Linked DNA regions of Drosophila melanogaster. Changing the gene in region 1 together with any one later gene gives a genetic interaction. Each region holds a gene or a part of one and is shown on either strand. Other genes may lie near its edges.

What was found.
Region 2: of run (region 1) and ttk, changing one suppresses a phenotype caused by changing the other (phenotypic suppression), as found in Drosophila melanogaster (2 studies listed by BioGRID).

Annotation. Positions count from the first base shown.
Region 1 is NC_004354.4:20,688,514-20,692,467, reverse strand, and holds the start of run (runt), read right to left. Parts: upstream 1,799-3,954; 5' UTR 1,456-1,798; intron 1-1,455. UniProt on the Drosophila melanogaster protein: Plays a pivotal role in regulating the expression of other pair-rule genes such as eve, ftz, and h.
Region 2 is NT_033777.3:31,712,326-31,715,925, reverse strand, and holds the start of ttk (tramtrack), read right to left. Parts: upstream 2,060-3,600; 5' UTR 1,657-2,059; intron 1-1,656. UniProt on the Drosophila melanogaster protein: Binds to a number of sites in the transcriptional regulatory region of ftz. Isoform beta is required to repress inappropriate segmentation gene transcription and repress genes incompatible with development of photoreceptor cell fates.

The DNA.
Region 1 (3,954 bases):
TAGCGATTGGCTAAGTGATTAGCACATACATAGATAGTAATTCAGATTACGAAACTTAGCTTCAAAAACGAAATATGAACGATTTAATTAACTTAATGTAAAATGGATTAACTGTGTATTAATTCTTAAGAGCTGCTGAATAACACTTGACACTTGACTTGACAATTTAAAGTAATATTCTCAATTCCTTCAACACTCATTTCGTGCAGTGGAACGCAAATCAAGTGCCTGACTGGCCAAAAAATTGCGGCCCACCAAAACAACCTTAAAAACGAGGCCACACAGGACCCGCGAGTTTTCCGAGGTGGCGGACTCTTCCAGGCACCGCGTGGAGGAGGAGGAGAAGGAATGGGGAGCATGGCCATTCTGGTAGGGGAACTACGAGGCAAGACCAACCAAAATGTCGCGAGAACGCGCCGCTCTCAGCTGGACATTATAGACGCACACTTCCAGTAAATCCAGTGTATCGGCAGCGCTGCCTTTTGTACGTGCGCGGCCGCTCGCTGCGAAGGACCTCGTGTCCCTACACCGATTTCACACCATATAGCCCCGGGATATATGGCAGGACAGCGCAGGTTTAGCGGGCGTGCGACAAGGACGCGATTGCCGATGGCCGATTGACGATTGCCGGTTTCCCGGGAAATCAGCGCTCCTGTCGTCGCTTCTTGGATCCTGCTGCGATTCCTTGGCAATTTGCGACAGGAGCTGCCGCAGCACGCGCATCGCAGGACCCGCAGGACCGCCTCATAGGGATCACCGAGCACCAGGCAGTACCTGATCTCCATACCGAACTCGCTACGAGCCCACAGCAGCCAAAAGGATCAACCCTTTTTTTATGGGCCCTCCGATGCTTTTTTGCGGCCCCAAAAAAGTGGGAAAACTATGGGTTTACTGGCTTTGACGTACCTGGCCCTCAGATGTACCATCGCATGTACTGATATCGCACCTCAAAACAGGTAGTCCAACCGCGCAATCTTAATCCTTTGCTTATGAAAGTCAATCGCCCGGATTAAGCAGCACGCCCCGCAAATATTTTGGCCGATTAGCCGCCGCCACGGGCCATAAAATATGTTCCCAAAAAATAAGCAACGAGCATCTGATACGGAAAGTGCCTACCTGGCCACCAAAAACTCAAAGGACTTCGCTTTTTAGCGGGATTAACCGATGGGAGATTAAGGCGACAGTAACCTGTATTCATGTACTCAATATATGCAATGTTTTTCTCACTGCTGTTGAGCAGTTAATTTAAAACAAAAAAGAGCGAGGCTTAATTAGCTGAATTTACTTCTGTACTTCACCATAAAAAATCACTCCCGACTATTTCTTAGTGCAGATATTTTTTGTACAGTAGTTTAGTACGCAAGCTACTTGAATCTGTAAGATACGGTTTCATCTATGCAAATGTCGTGAGCGGTAAATAAAACTTCCAGTGCGATTAAAAGCTTCTGTACTTACCGATCTTACGCAATCTGAACTATATCTTAGTGCAGATTATTTAGAAAAGTATTTTAGTAATCAATCTACGATACAGGCTGCTAACTGTGAGATACGATTTCACTTATGCAAATACCGTGACGTTCCTGAATAAATTTCCTCGAAATGAATGGGTATCAGAACTACGATCTGTGCATTCCGCACCTCCGAGGAACGGACAAACCAGTACTCCGTTCATCCCCCAATCACCACGGCGATCAGTTGAATTATTCATATACGTGCGCAAGATCCCTCCCCCTCGCAGAAAGAGACGGCACCAGGCGAACGAAAGAGAGGCACCTACGCTCGAGGGGCTGGGGTAACCGCAGAGATCGGCCAACCGTTGGCGAGCAGATGCTACGGAAATAGCTGACATCCAAGAGGGGATGATTTATTAGTAGGGCGATCGTTATGGGAGAGAACGAGACGGCTGCGCCGATCGTGGCTCCGCCTCTCCTCATGGAGCTCCTCGCACAACCGTTATCCAGGCTATACTGAATGCACAGGGATCCCAGGAGCCAGGAGCCATTGACCACGGAGAACCCCAGAACCCCCAACAAAAATTACCGACAGAGAGCGGAAAACTCTGGCACCGTGGAAATTCCAGTGGCGCAGGGGAAATGCTCACTGCCACAGGAGAATAAAAAACAAAAGCGACTGCCAATCGAGGAACATTTTTGTACCCTTCGGTGTTTGGTTAGTTTAACTATTTCAAATGACAAGTGAACAATAACAATATTGATGCGTTTTTGAAACGATTATAACGACGAAAAACTGTTTTAACTAAGCATCTGTATAAAGTGAAACTGAAATTCAATTTAAATTATTTAATTTAAGCATGAAACATATTTTGTAGTAAAAAATTAAATATCTTTTAATAGCTCAAAAGCGTTTATAATAAATACAATAATCAATTTATTCAACAAATATTTGTAAAGTATTATAAAACGTGCATAAATGTTTTGTTTTTTTTTTTTAGGGAAAACAAACTTATTATTTCGTTATGAATATATTTGAAAATATACTGAAAAGTGTATTTAACAATTTGTGCCGCCAATTTGCGCATTCTTCTTTATTTACAAAAGGCAGCAGTGGAAAAGCGGAAAAGCGGGCAGCGCGGCGGCAGCGGACCGACTGCGACTGCGGCTGCGGCGTTGTGTAAGTGAATTGTGGTTTGTTGTTTTGGTTGTGGCGCTGGCAGTGCTGCCGGCAGCGACGTCGGCAGCGACGTCGGCAGCGGCTTCCGACCGCTCCTCCCCATCCCCCTCCCCCGCTGGCGACGTCATTCAACCCTCGGAAAAAATTACACCACAGCCGGTTCACCACTTTCCATTGGAAAACGCTTGTTTGAGTGATTTTTTTTCTGCGTTCTGGGGGTGTTTTTTATTTTCTTTCGTGTGGTGAAAAACGGGGAATGAGTGTGTTTCGGGTTTCCTTCTGTTTTTCTTTTTACCTTTTCCTTTTTTTTTTTTTTTTGGTTTTCTTTTTTTTTTTATTCTTTGCCTTTGCGACACTCCCACAAAATTGTGTTTTGGTTAGGTGGCCATGCATTGGCTGGCTTTCCACCGTTTTCCACACACTTTTCCGACTGCCAGCTGTTCTTTGGCCCGTGTGCGCTACTCCATCTTGGCCGAATCCCAGGATCCTTGGATTGCTTGGGACACATGTCATGGATTTTTCAGCGATCATTTGTGCTCCTTGTGTGCACATACATATATATTTCCTCAGTTTTCGTTGACTTGGCCCCTCTCTATTTACTTAAGAACAATGGATTTTTGGCAGGAACGATCCGTAACCATTTTGAATGGACTTTCTTTTGGGCCCGCGACAATTAGCCAAGGGAAAATGGAAGAGGCGAAAATTGGTGGGGGAAAATATGCAGCTGTCCGATCGGCGTTGAAATCCTAATGATCTCTGGCGATTGTTACACATGTCCCCTACAAATTGTTTACAAAAAACTCCCGAAAAAACGGGAAACAGTAAAGAAAAGTCGGAGGAGTGTGCAAGTTGTTTACATTTGTTGGCACAACAAAGGTTCTTCGGTTATGTTTTGGGCTGTTTTTGATCAAAGGACACTTTTCGTGATCATCGGCATCGTTTTATATTATCTTTTGATATTTATAGTAAGTTTTCCATCAATACGAATCATGTGATTTATGGTTTTTCATTCGAGACCTGCCTGTTTTTTCCTATTTTAAATTTACTGAAAGTGTTGATAGGGGATCATTTCTTTATTCTGTTTATTTTTGTTTTGAGTACAAAACTGAATTTTGAAATGCCTAAAACGGGTTAGCTCTCAACGCATCGGCCGCCCTCTGCAGAAGGTCGATCTGTCCTCGATTAAATACGTTTTCCCACCAACCGATCCTCCATTTTATAATGCCTCCCCACCCCCTTTTGTTATTATGAAACCCGCTTTCCCATGCCTCCCCGGCGCTAACTTCTGAACTGCAACTTTTGGCTTTGTAAATGGGTATATAT
Region 2 (3,600 bases), on another chromosome or scaffold:
TATTTGTTAAAAATGTTTTAACATTTCTTGCCCTGTGTACTTAAGGGAGAGTGAGAGAAGAATAGATAAGAGAGTTCTGCCTTTTCCTATCCCCCGCTGATATTGCGTATACGCCGCTTGGACTTTTACTGTTTCGACTTTTTATGGGTTTCTACGAGCGAAAACAACAATGCATATGTTCAGATCGCGTTTGCGTTGTTAGTCATGTCATCCTCTTTCTCTTTTCCCTCTTTCATTGCTGCTTTAACCGTTTCGATCGCCGGCTAAACAACAGTTATAATTCGAGCATAATGTTAAGTGAGCGCAAGGTGTTCACAAGTGTCTTTGTGTGTGTGGGGCAAACAAACAGAAAAGCTTTCGCGGAGAGCGGGAAATATATAGTAAAGAGCGCATAGTGCTGCTCTTGTCGTTTCATTAACAAAACAACCGCAAAATTTATGTGTGATCTGAGACTGGGCATTCGTTTCCTTTTCGCCCCAATACAAAGTATAATTCACGATTTTTGTTGTTGCTGCCACTGTGTGAAGTGGGTTAGCGAATTAAAAACAACGACAGAAGTAACAAATAAACATAACATACAAAGACAAATGCAGATCGGAGACGAAGATTGTGTTTTTTGGGCTGTGATCTTGATTTGCATAATTGAATTTGTGGCTTAGCGTGGAGCACAGGTGCAAGTGTAGAGTTGCCCCTTGGCCAGGGTTGTCAGGTTTCCTTCCTCCCAAGAATAGTAACCAACGTATAGAGTTGTAGCTCACTTTAGTTATTGCGATTAAATAAACGTAAAGCCGAGTTACACAATCAATACATTGAGTCCAAATAATTTGTGCAGTGCAAACATGTTGCGTACATGGATTACTCATTCACACATTCACTCCATTGGTTCATTCAGAAAAACACCGCAAGTGTTGCAGCCACTGGAAGCCACCAGAAGGCACTGGAACTGGAAGAGTGATCAAAAGGGGTGCGCCGGGCGAATGACGACTGGATGTGGAAGTGGGGGATAAAAAAGGAAATGGGCAACTGCAAATGACAGAGATCACTGAAGCACGACCGACAAATAAGCGGCGGACGAATCTATGTATCTAGTATCTGGTATCTAGTGTGGCGGCATTACTCCCCATGTGCCGTATACGGCATGTGTGCATTTGTATCTGTGGCTGTACCACTATCTGTATAAGTTGGATACAAAAGCGTCTTTCCAATAGGCGTGTGTTGGTGCATGTACTGAGCGTGTGAGCGGGAAATTGTTAGAAGAAAATGTATCTGCTAGGCTTTTAAGACTGCTAGATTTCCAAAACGACCCTTGGCCAATTTGTCAGGCTTTTATTGCTATAATTCTGTAATCCAAAAGCTATTAACTGCTGATTTTGTCATCAATTGTTTTCGACTCCTGCGATGTCCTGTTTAAAGTGATTAGATTCTAATCCAAAAATATAATTCAGTGAACATTCAAATCTTTAAAAAAATCACTACGGACTCCAGAAACAAAAGCCAGTTAAAGAACTTTTGAATCTTAATCAATAAAATCCTCATCTGAGATTCAAGATAAGTCTTAAGAAGGTAATAAGAATACTTAAACTTGTCGTTTAAATTTGAACACTTGATGATTTGACCTTTTTCGAAGACTATTTCGTGGATAATCTCACCACTTACCAATTTTACAAATATTCTTGGTAATCCGTTTTGCGGTTTCTTCGGCGGAAGAAGGCTTGCAACACTCGAAAGTACTTGTTGTTGTTTCTGTTTCTTCTCTTGTTGTTGGTTACACGTAATTGGCAACCGAGGCGAACACGGAGCCGAAAGCGGGTTGCGAAAAGGCAAAAGGCAAAGAAATCAGCTGAGGAAACGCCGCGCACGAACCTCCAATCAGAACTGAAACGGCAGGGATGTCGACGTCGACGCAGAAGCCATTTTACCGCATTTGTTGTCCCTGAGCTGAGCCCCAAAACCGAGAGAGAGAGAGAGGCAGAACGAGCACCACAGAGAGCCGCTAAGGTGGATACACAAAGCCGAGCCGAAGCCTTACCGAAAGCTTTGATCACACGGCACGAACTGAGCTGGGAATAGCATGGAATATGGGAGTATGGGAATTGGTAGTGGTAGTGGGCGGTATTTGTAGTGCTCCCGTTTCACATTGCTCTCCCGCTCGCAGGGCACCAAAAACGCAAGTGGATGTGGACGGATGAGCGGACGAAATGGAATGGCAAGAATCGAACATTTGAATGGGGCTCCAAATGGTTAAGAGAACAGCGCAGCCGCTGCTGGCAGCGAGAGCGAGGGAGAGCGCAGTCCCAACTTGACATTTCCATTTCGCCGCTGCGTTGGCGCTCTGCCCTTATGCTCTTTCTTCTCGCGCTCTCCCGCTGATAAGCTGGTGTTGAAAACAAGTCTCCTGCGCTCTCGCTCTCTCTCACCGCCGTGACCTGCTGCTCCACCTCTGCGCCCACCACCCCTTCGCTTCTCTGCTGCATCAGCGTATTACGAAATATGACAACAATGCAGTTTGGTCGTCCTCGTTTTCATTCTGCCGACACAGCGGCTGCTTCTTCTTCAGTCCCATCTTCACCTCTCTGCTTGTGCCTGCTCAGCATAAATGCCATCTCTCCGCTCTCTTTGGGAACACCGGAGTATGGAAGAGTGTGAGAGAGGGGGGGGGGGAGAGAGAGGAGAAAGAGAGAGTGGGTGGCTGGTGCTTGTTTGTTATTTTCTCCGCGCTGCACTTGCAAATTGATTGTATTTTAATGAAGTTCTGGTGCCCGCTAAAAATAGTCAACTCTCTATTCAAAGGGGAGGATCGTCGCCGAGGGGCGTGGTGCGGGAATTTCTATCTGGGCGCATTCCAAGTGCAGCAATATATCGGCAGTAACTAATTCCAAATGCCAGCTATTACGACAAACTGGTTTGATCGGAAAAGCGTGCCTCGTATGCTCGACTCTCTTATTCGCTCAACCTCCCACCGACTGCCCCGCCCCCCAGCGCCCCTTTCGAGAACGCTCGCGCACACTTCTAACTGAAACCGAAATGATTCCATGTTTTCCCCGCTGCACCGACTTTAAGTTGAATAATTGTTGCTGGGGTTGCCCTGCACTGAGAGAATTGTTTGCAACGTAATTGTTTCTTTACGTTTTAGAAAATATCGCTACCTTAGATAATATAAACTTTATACACTAGTTTTGCTGTGCACGATGGCACACGTAACCCACTGGTCAACTGCCTGATGGGTCTTGGGAGCGTGTCGCTTTTTGGGTAACCCCCGGGACGGGGCGTTACCTGATCCGATCCCAAGGGGGGCTGGTCGTTATTAGGGCCCATTTGAAGGATCATTAGGCATGCATGGGAAAGACCGTCAATCAATGCGTGTTCTTGGGAAACGGCAACAGTTCCCCGCATCTAAGATTATATATCTGGCATAGATATGGGAGTTCTTTGACTTTGGCACCGCTGATAGTGGAAAAGGATTGAGGGACCAGACTTGGGCGACAGATAAGACATGTCTAGGAAGGCCGTTATCTCTCTCTTTATACGCTGATAATGGAAGCCTTAATCGCTTTCTTTAAGTACAATCGGTTAGTTAGGTTTGGTTTTAAACATATCTAC